Linked DNA regions of Stegostoma tigrinum. The protein of the gene in region 1 interacts with the protein of each later gene in a pairwise test. Links are inferred from orthologs where the notes say so. Each region holds a gene or a part of one and is shown on either strand. Other genes may lie near its edges. The genes, in order: urod and lratd2a.

Region 1 (11,640 bases):
GAAATCATGCTCAACTTAAAAAAAATAAGCAAACAATTGCCATAAATTTAAAATCATCAAAATCAACTCATTGCCCCTTCCCCCTCCAGCCCAATATCCGAAAACCTCTCTCCAAATAAAGCCGCCATTCCTTTTGGGCAGGGGACATAGAATTAGGGTAAGAAGCAGTAAGTTTACAGGGATTTGAGGAAAAATCATTTTCTCCCAAAACATCATGGGAATTTGGAACTCACTGCCAAATGATGATAGAGGCAGAAACCCTCTCAACATTTACAAAGTATATAAAATGTACACTTGTGATGCCAAGGTATGTAAGGTAAGTCCTGGAAAACAGAATTACAGTAGTTAGCTGTTAGCAGTTGACCAGTGGAGACTCAAAGGGCTAAAGCACCTTGCTCTGTGCTGTTGAGCTTAACGATTTTCTGTGCATCTACAAATGGCTGATGATCTGGAATTCCTTTCCCAAATTCATCTCGTCCAACTACCTGTGTTTACAACACCTTCTTTAAAATTCACTGGTCAACCCAAGCCTTAAGTTACCAGGGCGGATATCTTCTCCTCTGTCCCATCATTCACCAATGTTTGGTTGTATCACTGTCAACGTTTGGGATGATTTTCTGTATCATAGGTGCCTTTTATGTGCAAGTTCTTGTTCCTATATATCCATGCATATGTACACACCTCATTTCGCTTTACTGTTATATTAAATGAATAGTGTGCTGTAGCATATTTAAAATTTACCTGTTACATGGCCTGTAATCATAACCAAAAAGCTGCTGCTGTTTCTGAAGCCTTTCGGGTGTTTCCACTGGCACAAGTCGCTCGCCACCTTCAGGCTGCTTACACAGAAGAATCCAGCCTTCTGTTTCCTGACAATTGCTATTGTACTCTTGTAATTGCTCCTGTAGCATTATTGGAACAATGACAAATCATATAATTGATCTATTACATAAAATAATAACATTATAATTCCAACAGCTGAGGATGGCAATCAATACTGTGAATACATCTGCCACACTGTGTCCACTCAATGTTATTATAATTATGCAGCTCTTGCTGAAGGCTTTCCCCCGAAACTTATTTATCTCTTAAGCTAAGATCTTGTATCTTACAGAGAAGGTTTCAGCTCATTCACATCCAATAGCCTGTTCTGAAAACTCTGGTTATGTTTTGACAGCTCTAACAAATTACAACATTACAGATGAGAAAATCTGTAACATTTCAAAACAACATTGTAAAATAAAAGAACCTACAACATTCTAAACAAGAATGTCAATTTGCTCCATCGCCTAAAATCAACAGATTCTTTAAGAAATTGCCTGGAGTTAAACCTTCACCAAATACTAATCAGATCTTCCCTGAGCCATAACTGAAACCTGTCCATTGAATCTGGGACATACAAACATACGAAATATGAACAGAAGTAGATCATATGGCCCTCAAGCCTGCTTTGCCACTTAAGACGACTACAGCTGTTCTACTTGCCCTAGCAAAACTGGAATCAATAGGTATCAGGGGCAAACTCTCTGGTGGTCAGAGTCATACTTGATACGCAGGAAGATGGTTGTGATTGTTGGAGGTCAGTCATCTCCGCTCCAGCACAACTTTGCTGGAGTTCCTCAGAGTCGTGTCCTAGGTCCAACCAATGTCAGCTGTTTCATAAATGACCTACCTTCCATCATCATAAGGTCAGAAGTGGGGATATTTGCTGATGATTGCACGATGTTCAGCACCGTTTGTCACTCCTCAGACACTGAAGCATTCCATTTCCAACCGCAACAAGAACTGGACAACACCCAGGGTTGGACTGACAAGTCGCAAGTTAAATTTGCGCCACATAAATGTCAGGCTATGGCCATCACTAATATGACAGAATCTAACCACCAGCCCTTGAAATTCAATGGCGTTACCATCACTGAATCCCCACTACCAAAATCCTTGCAGTCATCATTGGTCAGAAACACAACTGGGCTCACCACATAAATAAGATAAAGTGTGGGGCTGGATCAACACAGCAGGCCAAGCAGCATCTTAGAAGCACAAAAGGTGATGTTTCGGGCCTAGATCCTCCTGAAGAAGGGTCTAGGCCCGAAGTGTCAGCTTTTGCGCTTCTAAGATGCTGCTTGGCTTGCCGTGTTCCTCCAGTCCCACACTTTGTTATCTTGGATTCTCCAGCATCTGCTGTTCCCATTATCTCTCTCACCACATAAATACAGTGGCTACAAGAGTAGGCCAGAAGCTATGAATACTTTGGCGAGCAACACACCTTCTGACTCTCCAAAGCCTGTCCACTATCTGCAAGGCACAAGTAAGGAGTGTGATGGAGTACACCCCACTTGCCTGGATGAGTGCAGTCCCAACAACGCTCAAGAAGCTTGACACCATCCAGGGGAAAGGAGCCGACTTGATTGGCACTACATCCACAAGCATCAACTCCCTCCAACGCTGATGCTCAGTAGCAGTAATGTGTACTATCTACAAGATGCCCTGTGAAAATTCAGAAGATCCCAAACAGCACCTTCCAAACCCACGGCCACTTCCATCTTGAAGGACAAGGCCAGTACATATATGGGCTGTTACCACATTCACGTTTCCCTCCAAGCCATTCACCATCCTGAATTGGAAATACATTGGTGTTCCTTCACTGTCGCTGGGTCAAAGTTCAGGAATTCCCTTCCCAATGGCATTGTGGGTCAACCAAGGCAGGTGGACTGCAGCGGTTCAAGAGGACAGCTCACCATCAACTTCTCAAGGGCAACTAGGCGTGGACAATAAATGCTGGCCAGCCAGCGACACCCACATCCCACAGAAATGAAGTTTAAAAATTTGTGAACTCCACCTTCCCACTTACCACTGATAATTTTGATTCCCTTGTTAAATAAGAATCTATCTTTCTGAAGAATCATATCTGACTCAAAAATGTTAACTCTAGTTCTCTCTCCATAGATGCGGCCAGACATGCTGAGCTTCTCCAACGTTTTCACTTTCTAGTTGCCGGAAACTAGAACTGTAGTACTTTGCTTTTATATAAATTAAACAACTTTTTAACATTCGTGCTTATAATACAGCTTTGTGCTGTTGGCATTTAACTGTGTAGTTTCTTGCTCAATTCCTTAAATCCACTTATTAAAATATGTGTGCCTCACTATAGAAGTTCATCACTATCCTATCACCTTAATACTATAAAAGCAATGACCACACTAACAATTACTTGCTTTGTACGCAATTCATTTTTGACATGACTCAGGACTACGAAAAAGATTTCATGAGAGGCAGTGATATCATCATTATGCTTTACAAAATGTGTCTTATCTCAGTGGCCTTAGTGAGCCAAGACAACAGAAATGTTTTTACCTCACTCACTGTTCAAACAAAGTCCAGCACACTGTTAAAGCCATTAACAAATGAAACAATGATAAAACCGAGATGAAGCTACTCAATGAAGTAGGAAGCTACTCACAGTAGGAGAAAACTTTCCTGATGCAATTGCAAGAATACTCTACCAGGACAATTAAAAACAAAAATTAGCAAATGGTTCCCAAGGAACGTACCTGATTCAGCTTCACCCACAGGCCGTGGCTGTTGCAGTATTCCTCTCCAGTTGCTTTGATGCAAGTCCCTCTCTTTAATTCAATGTCAAAGAGTTTCTTGCGCTGAGGCTGGGAGGCTAACTGCCATATTGAAACAATGTACTGAGATCGTCCCACTATGGTAGAAGACAAGGTGGAGTCTTTCCAGAATTTATACAAGACCTCTTTGGGGACATAACACAAGGCTTCTGGCAAAGGTTTACTGTTCCTGAAGCAATCAATGCACTCAATCAGAAACCTGATTCTTCCTAGAATCTGATGCGGATTGTCAGGATTCATTGTAATCTAAAATTAACACAACAATTTGAATGTTGGCATGTCACTGCTAATGTGAATAGTATTCTTACTACAACTGCATTACATTCAAGAAAAGTAATTTTGCAGGAAGGTTCTTTTACAGTGTAGCTCCCTGGTTAAATACCCAATCTATAGATTCTGAATCACTATAGTGTTGAAGCAGGCTATTCAGCCCAGAGTCCACACCAGCCCTTCAAAAAACATCCCACTCAGACCAAACACCCTACCATAGCCCTGCATTTCCCACAGCTAAACTACTTAGCCTGCACATCCTTGGACACTATGGGGCAATTTAGCATGGCCAATCCACTTAACCTGCACATCTTTGGATTGTGGGAGGAAACTTACGCAGACACAGGGAGAACATGCAAACTCCACAAGGACAGTCACCTGAGAATGGAATCGAACTTGGCTCCCCGGCATTGTGAAACAGCAGTGCTAACCACTGAGTGATCGTGCCAAATCTTTCACTTTACACAGCTCTACTATGGTATTCATTGATTTTCCTCATTTATTCTATTTAAAACATGCCTGGAAAAATGTGCAAAGTTATACAAGAAATAAGATGAGTGAATCACTTCATTTTTAATCTAAGAATAGTACTGGAAACAGCCAACTGCAACAGCGAATAGCAGAAAATGATGGCGTGAAAGAGTGCATAACCTCAGAGATGGTAACAGAGTGCTGGAGAAAGTTAGCAGGGCTGGTAACACCTGAGCCGAGAAAACAGCTAACATTTTGAGTCCAGTGACCCTTCATCAGAATATTAGGAAGATCCCCAGTTTGGGGGGGGAATTGTCTTATGAGCAAAGATTGAGCTGGTTGGGACTCATTGGAATTGGGACAAATTAGGTCATTGAGACACACAGGATTCTTAAGGGGCTTGTCAGTGGAAATGTCCTTTCCATATTTCCCCTGTCAAGTCACTTAAGAAATCTATGTGTCTCAATGACTTCAAGGGAGAGTCTACGACTAGAGGATATAATCTCAGAATCAGGGGTTGCCAATTTAAGACAGAGAAGGTTGTCTCTCTTTGGAACTCTTTACCACATCAAGTGGTGGGAGCAGAATCCTTGCATATATTTGAGGCTGTTATGGATAGACTCTAGATCAGTGCTGGAATCAAGTGTTATAAGAAAAGGCACAACAGCAGACGTGGGGAGTGTCAGACTGGCAAAAATCCTATTGAACTGGCTGAGCAATCAAAGGGCCAAATGGCCTACTCCTGTTTCTGTTTCTATTTCTTATGGTTTTACAGATGGTAATATATGCACAAATAACATTAACAATCAGCTGACAAAAAATATTCACTTCCAGAAATGCAACATGTTCCACAAAAACATGAACTGAAGCATTTTGTTTTGAAACCATATAAATCCCAAAAGGAGGGAAAAGGAGAGTGCTTCACATGATATGGTAAAATCTCAGGTTTTAGACTTAACTGTTGACCTCAAACCAATCCATCTTGCTGTCACATAACAAACACGCTATCACACATAATTTAAAGAAACAAACTAGGCAGTAAAACATTAACAAAACTAGGTTGCCATGAAAGCAACACGGGAGAAAAACAAAACACGGCGCAATTAAAAAAAGTTTATTTTAAAAGAACACTTTTCTTTGAAAACATTATTAAAGAGACTGGGTGGGCCAGTTGGGGGAGAAAATTAAATCATGCAGTTGAACTTTGAGGGACACATCCAAACAGACTTGGGAAATATAGCTGAAATTGAAATTGCAAGTGTTTGAGTCAGGAAACGTGAAAAGTCCACTGTAAACAGTTCAAGCTGTAATGATTGTAAATTCCAAATTTGAAAATTCAAGTTTCAGCAGATTTAAAACACGGACGATCGTCAAAATCACTTGGCACTCAAAGCAGAAAGCTACAAAATTATGGGCTCCCTTCTGCTGTTTCCACAACTTCATCAGCATCTATTTGAAGGGTCACCAACTTTCCTCCCCCTCCTACCAATACTGAGTTACCTTTCAACCTTACACGCCCTCCTCATCTATCTCTCCCATTTCAATTCTCTACCCACCCCCACCCCATGACCGCACTTACTTTGGTCACTCTCCTTCTGCTTCCTGATACAGGCGCGCTACGACCCCCTTCGCCTTGAGGTCCTTCCGTGAGGTCATGTGATCCCGCCAGCGATCGCCCTTCCAACGGTGCACCCGGCGCTAATTGGCTGGTTGGAATCACGTGGGAGCTGTCAACATGGCGCCGCCCTGGGCCCTGAGGGAAGGAGTAGTCGCTACAGCGGTGGCTGCCTAGGAGTCCGAGCGATATGGGGGACGGCGATTTATCCGTGTAAGTGAAAGCGGGCGTAAAACAACAGGAGCGGCGTAGGCTTTAAATCCGGCGGCGAGATTTCACTCCCAATAGGGAGGCCGCTGTAAACCGTCCCTCAGAGAAACTCCAGTCAGTGACTAATGTGGCTTCAGCCTCCAGGCAGCCACAGAGTTTAGCACAGCTACCCGAACGTCAGTAAAAACTTTAAACATTCAGGTCTGACTCCCTCAACGATATAACTCTTAAGGTGACCATGAACATTCCGGGGAAATCCCATAAATCAGCTTTGGGCGGTATTAACACTAAAGCTGCCAACTCTATCCCCTTCACAGTGAAGTTATGTAACTGGAAAAGGCCTCGTGATTCACCACTCCTGGTCTTAACCCTGTCAGTCGTGTCCTATAAATGTAACCTGAATGGGTTTGTCAGCTCATGTTTATAGTCTGAAGGGTAATGTTTGTAAACTGTAGGAATTAGCAGCCTTTATTCAATAGGCATGTTTTGATGTGCTTCAGTTACTTTTTAACCACAGCGTTGACTAAGTCCTTCCTGATATACCTTTCCTGTATTGGCCGAACCCCTAACTATTTTATTGTGTTGTGTGTATATAATGCCGTGCTGCATTCAAAGGCTGTGGCATTTGCATGAAGATGGAACTTGACTGACATACTTTACCAAATATGATCTTGTCAACTGATTTTCTGGTCTTTCAGCACACAAAATTCCATCTTCTAATTTGAAGGAACATTTTCATAATCATGTTTTGAATTCCTTTTGGTATAGGGATGATGGCTATTAAAGAGTGATTAGAAATTTGACAAGATAGTACTTTGTTTCATAATTTATCTCTGATAATGGGGATGTGATTACAGATTCTGAACAGTTTGCAGCTTTTTATACTGCCCTCCATAAGCTTTATCTGCAGATTTGATTTAGTGTTGCACTTTTTGTGCCAATTAGAGCTAGCATTAGTGATAACTAGCTGACAAAATCCACCATTTTGATGGATGACAACATTTTTGTGGTCTTATTAATATAAGTTTATTTAGCAAGTTTGATTGCTGGGGAATTTCTGTATGTTTCAACTCTTCAGTTGGTGTAATACCAGAAGCTGCCCTCCACCTTCTGTTTTCCAGGATAAATGACTTTGCAGTTAGCTGACTTGCAATGCACTCTTATCTGAAACAAAAAGTATCCTCCTTTTCTATCATCAGTATTCCAGTCAACTGTTTTAGTAGACAAGATCAGTTTGTTGTAGGCTAGATGCTTCGGAGAAATGCTCAGATGCACGTTAAGTATGCAAACGAATTCTTGGTGCCATTCAAAACAGGGGACCATACCTTAATGGCAGACCTCTAGCCATGTAACAGAAAAAAGGTTGCTGTGTATTTTAGCCTTTAAGTTCACTAGTGCAGTCTCACATTTACTGTAAATGTGGAAGTATTAGTTGGAATTAACAGAAATGTCATGACTTTTAATTTGGCAGCCTCCCATTTTTTGAGCTGATGGTGTGTCTTGAAGGTCAGCTTGGTGTTGATCAGCAGCATGATCCTGGGTCGTCTCTTTTTTTCTCCCCCCCCCCCCCCCCCCCCCGCCCCAACAACCTCCCTTCGGCTCACTTTACTCAGCCAGCTAATCTTTTCACTTATCCTCACTTCTCATGCCTGATTGTCTGCATCAGTATCCATGATCTTCATTACTTGTAAGTGTTCAGTAGCAGAGGTGTGGATGAATGGTAGATCGTGAACTGGCCACTGGGTCACAAAACAGAAAGTCTTTAGTATACAGCCAAGCTATCAGTATAATTCAGCTGAAGCTGAAGGAATCTTCGGAATCTTAAACTAGCTTACTAGAGGTTATTTGAGTTATATTATGTTGATGTATTTTTGGCATTAACAATTGAGAGATTTTTTAAGGTAAAGACATCTAGTGTTTCCTTCTCAAAAAGACTCAATCCTCATTTTCAAATGTGTTTGCCATTTTATTAACAGAATAGGAAAGTTTGTACGATGTCAGAAATTAAACATGGATCTTGGGAGAAGTGTCAAAAAATTATTTCTGAACTGTTTGACCAAAATAATATTTCGGTAAAAACATTTCCAACCATTGCATTTTTACAGAAGTCTGTGAGTAATGATTTGCTGATTCTTTAATAAATTGACTGTCATATGATTGAATGCTGAGTCAGAAGATTTAGGATTTATTCAAAGTCTTACACATTTTATTAGTCCTTGAATATTATTGGCTTCATTTTGAAGTGCAAAAATATCACAGCATATGTTGCAAATATTATGGTGTCTTAAATGTCACCTACATTCAGATTGCATAACTTCAAATTGTTATGTGGAACAAAAGCATGGAATCATACACAGCAGAAGAGATGCTTCAGCCCATCACATCTGTACCCCAAAGCTACACTAAATCTACACTCATTCCACGATCTAGCACTAGCCCCATAGCCTTGTACATGATGACATTTCAGGTGTTCATCCACATACCTTTTCAAGGTTATGAGGTTTCCATCTCAACTGCCCTCCCACGTCATGTATTCCAGAACCCCCCATCCTCTAGGCGAAAAAATATTTCTTCAAATCTCCTCTCAACCTTCGGCCTTTCACCTCAAAAATTATTTCCCTTGTTATTTACCCTTCAGCTAAGGGAATAACTACTTTCTATTCACCCAGTCCATGCCCCTGATTGTCTTCTACCCCTCTATCACATACTCCCTTCTCCTCCTTTGCTGCAGATAAAACAACCCAAACTTATCCTGCCTCGCTCCATTTAAAAAAAAATGCTCCATCCCTGACCGCATCCTGGTGAATCTCCTCTGCACCCCTCCAGCGCAGTCGCATCATTTCTTTAATGAGGCAACCAGAACTGTGTATTGTACTTCACCTGTGCCCTAGCCAAAGTCCTGTCCCTGTTCATGGATAATCACAATTACTTGCTGTTTTCTGAGGAGATGATGACGATGATTGAGGGAAAAGTGGTTGATGTTGCCTACATGGACATCAGTAAAGCCTATGTGAATGTCCCTCATGGCAGACAGGTACAGAAGGTGAAGTCACATGGGATCAGGGGGAACTGGCAAGACTGATACAGAACTGGCTTAGCCATAGGAGACAGTGGGTAGTGGTGGAAGGATGCTTTTCAGAATGGAGGGCTGTGACTAGTGGTGTTCCACAGGGAATGGTGCTGGGACGTCTGCTGTTTGTGATCTAAATAAATGATTTGTAAGGAAATGTAGCTGGCCTAATTAGTAAGTTTGCGAGTGATACAAAGATTGAAATTGCAGATAGTGAGGAGGATTGTCAAAGGATACAGCAGGATGTAGCTCAGTTAGAGGCATGGGCAGGTAAATGGCAGATGGAGTTTAATCTGGAACAAATGTGAGCTGATACATTTTGGAAGATCAAATACAGGTGGAAATTATACAGTGAATGGCAGAACCCTTAAAAGTATTGATAGACAGAGGAATTTGGGCGTGCAGATCCACAAGTAGATAAGGTAGTAAAGAAGGCCTATGGCATGCTTTCCTTCATTGGAAGGGGCATTGAACAGAAGGGTGAACAAGTTATGCTGCAGCTTTATAGAACTTTATTCAGGCCACACTTGGAATATTGCATACAGTTCTGGTCACCACACTACTGGAAGGATGTGGATGCTTTGGAGAGGGTACAGAAAAAGTTTACTGGGACGTTGCCTGCTATGGGGGATTTTCGCTACACTGGTAGGATGGATAGACTGGGTTTGTTTTCACTGGAATACAGGAGGTTGAGGGGCATACTGATAAAGGTTTATAAGATTGTGCATGCCTCGGATAGAGTGGAAAGTATGATGCTTTATCCGCAGGGTGGAGGAGTCAATTACTGGGGGGGCACAGGTTCACGGTGAGGGGGAGGAGGTGGGAGTTAAGAAATGTGCGAGGCAGATTTTTCACAAAAGGAGTGGTGAGTGCTTGGAACGCGTTGCCAGTGGAGGTGGTGGAAGCAGACACAACAGCATTCAAAAGGCACCTGAATGAACGTGAATAGGAAGGGAATAGAGGGATACAGATCCTTTAAGTGAAGACAGTTGTAGTAAGGAAGGGCCAAACGTCAGTGTGGGCTTGGAGAGCTGAAGGGCCAAAGGGTCTATACCTGAGCTGTATTGTTCTTCTGAGGAGGTGGAATGGGGAAATGTGGAGTTGGGGCAAACATGGTTAAGAGGAAATGGTAAATTTTGGACATCTGCTACCAGGGAGCAGTTACTATAGGATTCATTTTTTGAAATCTAAAATTTATCAATTTTGCTTAACTGTTTAGGATGACCTATAATGATATCACTAACCCCAATAAGCTAATTATAGTTGAAGCTTAGATCAACCAACTTGTCTTCTCTTACCAGCAAATCTATAAGCTTGTGCCCATATAAACTTTTGTCTGGAGAAGATCATCCAGTGTTGATCAGCAAAACTGACAATTTTTACTTTTCAAAATCTGACATAATTACCTTAAATGAGAACGAACTTCTTAAAATAGTTGACTGAAAAATATTCTCGGAATACGTTTCTATGCTAATTTCTATTGTTTTCCAACTGCATTGATCTGAATGCTGTAATGTTACCTCCAAGTAAAGTAAATGAGAGCATGATGCATGTTTTACAATGAAGTGTGAGAGACCGTGAGCAAATGTGGTTGAGAATGTGTTTTACTGGAAATCTATGTAGTATACAAAAATATTGTCAGTGTTGATAACAAGTTATTAATTATTAGAATTTGTTTATGTCCATACATAAGTTAACATCTATCACAATTGTTTATTGTTTAACTTTCAGCTCGGAAAATTTTCCTCCTCTGAAAAATGACACATTCCTCAGAGCAGCATGGGGAAAGGTAACCGACTATGTTCCTGTCTGGTGTATGAGACAGGCAGGAAGATATCTCCCTGGTAAGGATCAGAAGCATGAATCAAAATTGATAGCCCTCGCTCAGAATAATGTTGATTACGATTGTTCAGTGTGACCTGGTAACTGCAGTTAAAATTAAATCTAATTCAACTGAATTTGATGTCTTTTGTGAAGAGTTCATAGTGTCCCATAAAGCCCAATATGAACATTATCGTAACGAGTGTTCTGTGACATTTTGCCAACAATTTTGGCTTCACTTGGGATCTTTTAATGAGGATGGAGCATCATGTAACAGACCCAGCAAATGTCAAGATTTTGTAAATTGAGCTGTGCCATTTGAGAGAGAAATGGAATTAAGGCATTGCACAAAATATGGCAGAGTGTAATTTTCCTGATCTTCCGGGTCCTGTTGGATCACAACTATTAGTTATTCACATCCGTTAGCAGCTGCTTCACGATATCCTGAAACAGACACAAAGTAGGCAACGCCCCGTGTTGGCTACTCAGTCTCCTATTAAGGATGCTGCAACCCCGCTAAATTATTTATTTTTTTATAATGATAAGCCCTCTGT
Region 2 (11,330 bases), on another chromosome or scaffold:
CTCCTCTGTAAACTACTATGGTTGAAGTCCCAAGGCAGGACTTAAACACAAAATAAACTAGAGTTATAAACCACTGCAGTACCTGGGCAGGGTGTTGACTCTTGCAGGCTGTGTCTTTCAGATGAAAAGTTTAAACAAGGCCCCATCTGCCTTCTCAAGAAGATGCAAAACAATCTTATGGCACTACTTCAAAGAATATCAGAGAGTTCTCCCTAGTGAGCTGGGCAATATTTGTCCCTCAATCAATATCACAAAAAAGAAAACAGTCTTACTGATTATCACTTTGCTATCGGTGAGAGCTTGCTGTTTACAAATTGATTGCTGTGTGTCCTACATTATAACAATAACTGTAATTATTTCATATGTAAGTATACATAAGACTTTTTTGTTCAGTCACAGGATGCGGGTATCACTGGCTAGGCAGCATTTACTGTCAGTCCATAATTACCCAGAGGGCAGTTTAGAGTCAACCACATTGCTGTGGGTCTGGAGTCACATGTAGTCCAGTCCAGTTCAGGATGGCAGTTTCCTTCCCTCAATGACATTTGTGAACCAGCTGAGTTTTCCCTGACAATTGACAGCAGATTCACAGTCATCATCAGATTCTTAATTCCAGACACTTATTGAATTGAAATTCCACCCTCTGCCATGGCAGGATTCAAACTCAGGTCCCCACAACATTATCAAGGTCTCTGGATTGACAGTCCAGCGATAATACCACTAGACCTTCACCTCCCCACACTATTTAAATCAGCTATTAAACACCTTGGAATGTCCAGATGTTGCGAAAACAGCTACATAAATTTAGAGACAGAATACTATAGCAGAAGTATATGCACTGTAAAACTTTCCTAATGGGTTGTGGGTGGGAAATGATGCAAAGGAGTGGAATAGAGAGATAAGAGTTTTGAGGAAAATTTCCCTATGTTTGCATGAATACTTCACAATGCTTCTCACATGGAAAATCACATATTCCAACATTTTATTACATGGTTTCGCAATGTACACAAGTGCTTATTTAGACACTATCAATACATGGTCTGTGCATTCTGTTGATCTTTAGAACCTTGCAAAACTTTGACATGTCACACACATCAAAAGTAAGGCAGGCAAAAATATCAACTATAGTGCATAACTTAATGCACAATAAATTCAAAAATATCATTATAAAAATATTCAATTCAATCTCAATAAAGATGTGCAAGAAATATGAATACCTTCAAACTCTGTTTCAATGTGTCATGGGAACATGTATCATCAACAATGGAAACCAACCAAAACCAATACGGGCTTGAAGCTGAACTTAAAAACTAAAATCAGTAGGTGCTATTTTCTCCAGCTAACTGTATAAAGTATTTGTACGCTTTAGTTGGCAAATAATGCACTTCAGAATGCTCCTGACTGAATCACTCTAACCCAGTGTGCATTGTCCATCACCACAACCGTTTTTAACTTCTTGCTTTCTTCAGATCGACCTAACTGACCCCTTCTACTATTAAACTTTGCCCTTCATTTTGAAGGAACTGTTATGACTGAGAAATGTTCCCCTTCTGAAGCGAAGTTATTTCATTCTCAGTTAAAGCAAGGGTTTGATCTACCCAAGCAATATAAAAAGATGGAGGGTTGGGGTGGGGGAGGAAGAGGGGGTGGTTTGGGGAAAAGTAACAAGAGAAGTCACAGATTATCAAGAGTACGAAACAACCCCAACACTCCAGTATCACAATAAACGGTGATTATATTAACTGAGGAATGTTGCAGGAAAATTAACACAGTGTGGCTAACGCATGATTACATTTTTACTTTTGTGCAATCCACCGACTTGATAATGCTTCCTTTCAGTTTGTCTGGGTGAGAGGAAATAGGAAAGAAACTTGAAGTGAAACTTTTCATTCCAGCCTGAATAATCAATAAATGTCCCAGTTTTTTGGTGAGGAGGGGTGCACGTTGGCAGAGATGGTTAACCTGCTCAGTGTCAATCCCAGGCTGTATGGGTTTTACCCCTCTCAATGTGTGTTATGGAGTTTTAATCTGCTCAGTCTGTGTCATAATCAGTCCCGGATTTTAAATGGTTCAGTGTTTTGTGGTCATTCGTAGTTTTTGACCTGCTCTGTGGGTGTTGTGTGATCAGTCTCAGATTGGGCATGTGGAGGAGGTCAGTTTAACCCACTCAGTGGGCGGAGTGTAGTCAATCCCAAGGGATAACCAGGTTTGGTTTTGGGGGGTGGTTGTAGGCTGGATTTAAACCTCTTACCAGTGATTGAATGGTAAGTTCCAGGGTTTAACCCTCTCAGTGGGAAGCAGGGTTGCGTGGTCAGTCCTGGAATAAAGTATAACCCTCTGTGGGGTTGATGTTATCAGACCATGATGTAAGCCTCTGGAGTTTGGAGGTGATGGTGGTCAGGTCCAGGTTCGGGTTTGATTTGCTTTGCAAGTGTGGTGTGGTCGCTTCCTGATTTAACCCTCTCAGTAGGGGGTGGTTTGGTCAGTCCCATGTTAACCCATGTAGGATAGTATGGTCAGTCCAGGTTTAACCCTCTCAGTACTGTGTTGGTGGGGTCTGTCCCAGGTTTAACCCTCTCAGAATTGGGATGGTAGGGTCAGTCTCAGGTTTAACCCTCTCAGTATTGGGATGGTGGGGTCGGTCCCAGGTTGAACCCTCTTGGTATTGGGATGGTGGGGTTAGTCCCAGGTTGAACCCTCTCAGTATTGGGATGGTGGGGTCAGTCCCAGGTTTAACCCTCTCACTATTGGGATGGTGGGGTCTGTCCCAGGTTGAACCCTCTCAGTATTGGGATGGTGGGGTCTGTCCCAGGTTGAACCCTCTCAGTATTGGGATGGTGGGTCTGTCGCAGGTTGGTACTTGATCCCCTCAGCAGGGGTGTCAGTGGTCAGTCCTCTGCTGCTCGTCGCTGTGCAGATGGGCGGCCAGTTCCCGGATCAAAGCCACTTTGCCGATCTGGTCATTGCGGCGTTTCTCCAGGATCAGGTCATGTAGGCTCTGGAACTCGAGCGTGTGGCTGCTGTGCTCGGACAGGTGAAGCTGTAAGCGGTACGGCTGCTTGCCGATGCGGAGCTCCCCGCCAACCTTGAACTCTCGGCGGCCGCAGCGGCACCAGGCAGCGAAACACTCGGAGCTACTCCAGCGGAGCTGAGCCCCCCGCACGCCGACCTGCTGCAGGGCGGCTCGGACCACGGCGTCGGCCGGCAGCGCCTTAAAGCGGTACCGCTGGCTGACCAGGCGGCCCCTCCGGCCCTGGCTAGCATCCGTCAGGAAGTCGTTGCGGATCTCCGCCTGGTGCAGGTGTACCACCTGGAAGTCGCCCACATAGACGGCCCAATGAGGGCACTGACTCGCCGCCACGAACTCCACCAGGTCTCCGGGCTGGCACCTTCCCAGCAGGATCTCGGCCGGCTGAGGGGTCAGCAGCTCCTGGCCGTCTCCTTTGGCCGAGCGGCCTGCTCTCCTCCTCTTCTCGTAGATGCACTGGTCCCGGTAGTAGACGGAGCACTCCACCTCGTTCAGGAGGTCGTACGTGTCCCCGCCGTCCTCCTCTTTATCCCGGTCACACTCCCTCTCGCCGCCGGCGGCTGGACCCCTACCCGACCCCGTCTCTCCGGCCACCGGCTCGTCCGCCAAATCATCGTCCTCATCCACTGAAAAGATGTAGGAGACCCCGATGCGGGGCCCGGGCTCCGTCCCGGCCGGTTCCGCCGTAGGTACCTCGGCGTAACTCAGATGGGTCAGTCTCTCCACCTGGTTCCCCATTCAACTTCGACCTCCTTTCCTTGTGTATTCTTAATTTTTTTTACAAAACCACACAAACACACACACAAGTTCGCAGGACTGTAAATAAACCAACCCCCGGCAAACAGTGAAACGAAAAAAGGCGGAGGTTGGGGAGAAATAACAAAAATAATCTCCACCTGTAAAAACAAAACAGGACGAGCAAACTCAGGCTCCAGTCCTCCCGGCTAAAGGGTCTTCCACACCGGCCTCCATCGGGTCTGAGGGTCCAGGGCAGCAGCGATGGCAAATAAGCGGAGGGATGGGTTGGTCGGGGGCGATGGGGAAGTAAAATAAAAAGTTGGAGTCGATCAATAGTCAGATAGCTCCCCCTCCTCGGCACTGGAGTACAGTTGTTTTGTGGGCTTTTGAGATTTGAAAGGAGTTTGGGTTTGTAGAGCCTCCTCCTGGCTGTCGTCCTCCCTTGCCTCAGGTGTTGCAGTCCGTCCAAACTGCAAACAGGTACCAAAGGGAGAGATTGTGTGTCTGAGAGAGAGAGAGTGGTAGGAGGGATCCTTCCCCGCCCCTTGTCTCCCACAGTCTCTCTCTCTCTCTCCTGGAGACTGGCTCAGCCACTGCCGGAAGGATATCAGCTGAACAGCGGAGCTGCTGTGCCGCTACTGCGTGCTCGCCTGAGAATGTGACTCATTCACACCGACCCTCGGTCTCTCTCTCCCTCACTCCCTCCCTCTATGTCTCGGAAACGTCAAGGTAAGCGAGCTGGCGGAAGCGCAAAGGATCTGCCAACTCTGGGGAGCAGCCAAAAGCTTCTGGAATGCCGCCCCCATCCACTGTCTGGTCGTTTACAAACACACACACACACACACAATCTCTCGGGCTCTGCCACTTTGAAAAACTACTTTCCTGCAAGAATTCCGACAGCGGACGGCGAAGCTAGGAACGCCACTGTGTTTTATGTGCACGTACAGAGCGAAGGTTTGCAAATCCGACCTGGGGGGGGGGGGGCGGGGGGGTGTTTGTAAATCGGCAGCGGGCTCTCGGCACCTGAGAAATGAAACTGCTTGTGTCAGTTCATTTCTGCTCTCAGATAGTGACAGACCTGCTGCGTGTCTGAGAAAAAAAAGTCTCTGCTCTTTATCTTTTTTTTGGACGGCATTAACGCTAAGAGGAAGATCCGGCCAAGTCATGTTGGAGTTGCAATGAGACCAGTTTGATCAGGTTCGGGAACTGTATCTGGGCGCGGGGTGGGGAGAGAGAAATCGCAAACCTTCCGGTATTGGCCGATGAAATCTCTGCCGAGGACAAAGACGTTTGTGCATTGCGAAAGACGTGGGTGTATTAAGTTCACATTCCACATATGGTTCAAAGGTTATGCAGTGTCTCACTTGCAGTAGGACTGACGTGTGATTGTGGGCCGCTTCTCTCCCAACATTCAGGAGATCGTACAAATCAATACTCCCAAAGGCCTACAGCAAATTATTTTGAAAGGTCTTGCATTCACGTAGCACCTGCCACAACCTTCCGGAATGTTTAACAGACCTTTTGATCTGCACGCACAGCCACTTCAGGCGACGAAACAGCAATGCCATAGCCTGCCTGATAACTTCTTTTTAGAAGTTGGGAAAGGGACAGATCTTGGCCAGGGCACTAGAGAGAAATAGAACAGGGAGTTATTTTATGTCCAATGTAGAAATGCAGCAGTAGTCATTTGGCCCCACTAATCTGCCTTGTCATTCAGTAAGATAAGGCTGATCTGATTGTAACCTCAAATCCACAATCCTGACCCCGATAACCTTTCACAAGTTGCTTAACAAGAATCTACCTACCTCAGCCTTAAAATCAAAATCTTTGCTTCTCTTCTTTGGAGGAGACTTCCAAAAGCTCATGACTCTGTGCAAAAACAAAGTGCACCTCATCTGTACTGATCTATGCTCTATGTATGAAAGGTGGTAAGGAAAAGCCAGGAAACTATAGACTGGTGGGCCTGACATCAGTGGTGGACAAGTTGGAGGGAATCCTGAGGGACATGTGTTTGGAAAGGACTGATTAGAGATAGTCAACATGGCTTTGTGCATGGGAAATCGGGTCTCACTAATTTGATTAAGTTTTTAATGGCCAGCTCCTCATGTTTTTTGATTCACTTGTGGGACATGGGCATCACTGGCTGGCCAGTATTTGTTGCTTGATCCTAGTTGTCCTTGAGAAGGTGGTGGTGAGCTTGAACTGCTGCAGTCCATGTGCCATAGGATGACCTTCAATAATCATAATAATTCAAGGTTCGAGGAAATATCGTCTTCACATCCAACTCTTCATGACTGGTAAGGGTCTAACATGGTTCAATGAAGTTATCATTTATTGTTCTAAAGTCCAACTGATACTTACCTAGCTTGTCAAATTTTTTTTATAAGGCCGCTTGCTCATTCTGGTATAATGTAGTCAATCTTCTCTAAATTTGCATCTTTAAGGTGACAAATACAGTGCACAGAAGTCCAGATGTAGTCTCACCAGTGTCCTTTGTAATGGAAGCTTAGCCTCCCAAAGTAATCCAAAAGATGGCCCTCTGCCCTGAAAATTAAAACAGCGTCTTGCACATACCTAGACCTTCCGATAGCAATGAGCAGCTTTGGTGATAGTGTCTGGATGAGGAATCTTTGAAATCGGATCTTTTTTGTGTAATCTGGAAAAACAAACGGGACCTCAGTTTAGTGCCTTCTCCAAGGGCCTGGGCCTTCCACAACACAGCACTCCCAAAGTAACACCCTGCATTGTAAATTTAAATTAGATGCTCAATGCTCAGATGCAACAGAGCTGAGCTGATCTGAACATTTAAAATGATCAGAATTTCCATTCTGTACTTCCTGTTTGTCAGACAAGTTATTTAAATTACATTTTATTAAAGAAGCTTCAGATGCCAAAGAAATGCATTGGATCCTTTTTATTTTGATGTTTTATTCAATTCTCAGAGTCTAACAACAGTGATGGTGTAATATATGATCAAAAACAATTCTAGACAAAGCAGGATCCACAAGCAAAACAAAAAGAAATATCGCAACTGCTTAATCTTTTGTGATAGATTTCAATAGAATTTTAACACAATTCAATAGAATTTTAACAGAGGGAAACTGACAACATATTTCAGAATTGGTCGTAAAACTATCAATGTCTACAAGAAGACCCAATTGGGACAGTTTGAAGAACTCCAACATAAACTGTGTTCAATTGTACATTTGGCTTTAGATTATCTGCCCATTTGAATATTAAAAAAATATATTTTGCATTTGTATGATATCTTTTATATCCCGACATTGGCCCAAAGCACTGCACTGCCATTTAAGTGACTTTGAAGTATATCCACTGGTGTTATGCAGAGAAACAACGGAGAGATAAATAATCAGATAATCAGTTTCACTGGAGTTAGTCTAGTGTTAAATGTTGGACAACGAGAAATTCTGTATAGTGCTATGGGTCATTTATGTCCATCTGAGAGGATGTGCAGAACCTCAATTTAAGTTTTCATCAAAAAGAAACTTTTCATCCAAAAGATTGCCCCAATTAGCAGTGCAAAACTGAGGGAGTATCAGTTTGGATTATATTCTTGTGACTTTCAAACTCGAGGTAAGAACACCAACAAGGAGACATGTCAGATAACTAGCTACCTTTTCAAAAACACATTCCATCTGTTGAATGAAACACATACCAGCGTTTTTCTGTGATGTTTTACTTTTTTCTGCTGTCATTAATTGTCAGGTTGAAACTATTCAGTGCTTGCATGCTTTATGATAAAACTTTTGTTACGGCCTTGAAGAGAGTAAGGGGTTTCAATGACAAATATTCCAAAAGAATCAGCAAATGTCTGTGATTCATCGTAACATTTTAATTTTATTTCTACATTTTTTTTCTGAAGTATCTTCAATGTCCACTTAATTGCAGCGTGGCATGAGAATGCCTGGGGTGTATCTATGATCACTTATGGCTAAAGTGTTAGCAGCCTCTCAATGTTCTACACTAGTGGCCACCATAGTCCCAAAGGACTATAGGGCTGTTCTCTCATTAGAGAAAGTTAACTGATGACACGTTTTACCTGAGGGTCACCATGCCTCAGTGCTGGGGTGAGGTCATAAAATCAGGACCTTCATGATGACCTTAGCTGGTGTGGGAATTGTTGGCATCACTTTGCATTGTAAAGCAGCTGCCCAGCCAACTGTGCTAACTGTAGAGTTTCCCAGAATAGTGGTTGAGACCCCAAGTGTGGTCTAGAGCTAAAGGTTTGGTGTCACAAACTCTGAGGGTAGCAGTAGCCATCATGGGGCTGTGCACAAGTTAGAACTGTGTTACCAGACAGGTTCACATTCTTACCAGTCCCTCTCACCTCTCAATTCTCACTGATGGCTTGTGACAATTTTCAAAACTTGCATTGTTGTCACCAGGTTAAAAAGTTTGGGATGCACTGTTTTGGTGATTTCTTCCAAATGACGGTATGTGTGTCACAATGCAAAATGGAGAATTGTGTATTTGTTTAGTGCCTCTAACATAATGAAACATTCCAACATATTTCACAAGATCATCGTAAAAGCAATGGTGGTACTGGACCACATGAATTAATTAGGCCAGATAACAACAAAAACTTCGTTAAGTAGGGAAGTTTTAAAGAAGATCTTAAAGGAGGAGAATGAGCAAGAGTGGTGTCCAAAGGAATTTCAGAGCTTTAGGCCCAATGACAGAAGATATAACCACCAAAGGTGGAACAATTATAATTGAGAATGTGCAAGAGATTTGAATAGAAAGAGCATAGATATCTCAGAGGATTGCGCTGGTGGAGGAGATTGGGGACACTGTTTTAAATAAAACTGCCCTAAATGAAAATGAGAAGCTGATGTGGCAAGCAATGATTGTGGTTATGAATCTAGAAAGTCATTGAAAAAGAAAGATTATGATTGGTTTAAACAAAGAGTCCATCTGTAAAATTGGTAGGGTATGACCATAAGACCATAAGACATAGGAGTGGAAGTAAGGCCATTTGGCCCATCAAGTCCACGCCGCCATTTAAATCATGGCTGATGGGCATTTCAACTCCACTTTCCTGCACTCTCCCCGAAGCCCTTGATTCCTTGTGAGATCAAGAATTTGTCGATCTCTGCCTTGAAGGCATCCAACGTCCCGGCCTCCACTGCACTCCGTGGCAATGAATTCCACAAGCCCACCACTCTCTGGCTGAAGAAATGTCATCTCATTTCAGTTTTAAATTTACCCCCTCTAATTTTAAGGCTGTGTCCATGGGTCCTAGTCTCCCCACCTAACGGAAACAACTTCCTAGCATCCACCCCTTCTAAGCCATACGTTATCTTGTACGTTTCTATTAGATCTCCCCTCAACCTTCTAAACTCTAATGAGTACAATCCCAGGATCCTTAGCCGTTCATCATACGTTAAATCTACTGTTCCAGGGATCATCCGTGTGAATCTCCGCTGGACACGCTCCAGGGCGAGTATGTCCTTCCTGAGGTGTAGGGCCCAAAATTGGACACAGTATTCTAAATGGGGCCTAACTAGAGCTTTATAAAGCCTCAGAAGCACATCGCTGCTTTTATATTCCAATCCTCTTGAGATAAACGGCAACATTACATTCACTTTCTTAATCATGGACTCTACCTTCAAGTTAACCTTTAGAGAATCCTGGACCAGCACTCCCAGATCCCTTTGTACTTCTGCTTTATGAATTTTCTCACCATTTAGAAGATAGTCCATACCTGTATTCTTTTTTCCAAAGTGCAAGACCTCGCATTTGCTCACATTGAATTTCATCGGCCATTTCCTGGACCACTCTCCTAAACTGTCTAAATCTTTCTGCAGCCTCTCCACCTCCTCAGTACTACCTGCCTGTCCACCTATCTTTGTATCATCGGCAAACTTCGTCAGAATGTCCCCAGTTCCTTCATCCAGATCATTAATATACAAGGTGATCAGCTGCGGGCCCAACACTGAACCCTGCGGGACACCACTCGTCACCGGTTGCCATTCCGAAAAAGAGCCTTTCATCCCAAATGTCTGCTAACTGTCAGACAGCCAATCCTAAATCTAAGCCAGTAGCTCACCTTGAACACCATGGGCCCTCACCTTGCTCAGCAGCATCCCGTGAGGCACCATATCAAAGGCGTTTTGGAAGTCTAGATAGATAACATCTACTGGATTTCCCTGGTCTAACATACTTGTTACCTCTTCAAAGAATTTTAACATGTTTGTCAGGCACGACCTCCCCTTACTAAATCTATGCTGACTTGTTCTAATCTGACCCTGCACTTCCAGGAATTTAGAAATCTCATCCTTGACAATGGATTCAAGAATTTTACCAACTACTGAGGTTAGGCTAATCGGCCTATAATTTTCCATCTTTTGCCTTGATCCTTTCTTAAACGGGGGGTTACAACAGCAATTTTCCAATCATCTGGGACTTTCCCAGACTCCAGTGACTTTTGAAAGATCACAACCAAAGCTTCTACTGTTTCTTCAGCCACCTCCCTCAGAACTCTAGGATGTAGCCCATCAGGGCCAGGAGATTTAGCAATTTTTAAACCTTTCAGCTTTTCTTGCACTTGCTCTTTTGTAATGCCTACCATACTCAACTCTGCCCCCTGGCTCTCCCTAAGTCTTGGCCTACTACTCATGTCTTCCACTGTGAAGACTGACGCAAAGTGCTTATTAGGTTCTTCAGCTGTTTCCTTATCTCCCATCACTAGCCTTCCAGCATCAGTTTGGAGCAGCCTAATATCTACTTTTGCCTCTCGCTTGTTTCTTATGTATTGAAAGAAGCTTTTACTATCATTTTTAATATTTCTAGCTAGCCTACCTTCATATTTGACCTTCTTCTTCCGTCTTGCTCTCTTTGTTAGCCTTTGTTTGTTTTTGTAGCCTTCCCAATCTTCTGATTTCCCAGTGCTCTTGGTCACTTCATAAGCTGTCTCTTTTTCTTTGATATATTTCCTGACTTACTTTGTCAGCCATGGCTGTCTAATCCCACCCCGGATAATCTTTCTTTTCTTTGGGATGAACCTCTGTACTGTGTCCTCAATTACACCCATAAACTCCTGCCATTGTTGGTCTACTGTCTTCCCCGCTAGGCTCTGCTTCCAGTCAATTTTCTTCAATTCCTCTCTCATGCCCCTATAATTACCTTTAACTGTAACACCATTACATCCGATTTTGCCTTCTCTCTTTCAAACTGCAGACTGAACTCTACCATATTATGATTACTGCCTCCTAAGCGTTCCCTTACTTTAAGGTCTTTCATAAAGTCTGGCTCATTACATAGCACTAAGTCCAGAATAGTCTGCTCTCTTGCTGGGTCCCTCACAAGCTGTTCCAAAAAGCCAACCTGCAAGCATTCCATGAATTCTCTTTCTTTGGATCCACCGGCAACATTATTCACCCAATCCACCTGCATATTGAAGTCCCCATGATCACCGTGACCTTGCCTTTCTGATATGCCCTATCTATTTCTTGGTGCATCTTGCGCCCCTGGTCCTGATCGCTGTTAGGAGGTCTGTACATAACTCCCATTATAGATTTTTTGCCTTTGTGGTTCCTCAACT

What was found.
Region 2: the proteins of urod (region 1) and lratd2a interact in binary tests that used the Homo sapiens proteins (3 or more experiments, as listed by UniProt). The two-hybrid records come from large-scale screens. The link is inferred for Stegostoma tigrinum from reciprocal best matches to the Homo sapiens genes UROD and LRATD2.

Annotation. Positions count from the first base shown.
Region 1 is NC_081361.1:72,490,212-72,501,851, reverse strand, and holds the start of urod (uroporphyrinogen decarboxylase), read left to right. Parts: upstream 1-6,062; 5' UTR 6,063-6,175; coding exon 6,176-6,198; intron 6,199-10,996; coding exon 10,997-11,109; intron 11,110-11,640. Other genes in the region: E3 ubiquitin-protein ligase HECTD3, read right to left, coding at 742-902, 3,552-3,869. UniProt on the Homo sapiens protein: Catalyzes the sequential decarboxylation of the four acetate side chains of uroporphyrinogen to form coproporphyrinogen and participates in the fifth step in the heme biosynthetic pathway.
Region 2 is NC_081358.1:48,459,744-48,471,073, forward strand, and holds lratd2a (protein LRATD2a), read right to left. Parts: upstream 4,722-11,330; 5' UTR 3,767-4,721; coding exon 2,882-3,766; 3' UTR 961-2,881; downstream 1-960.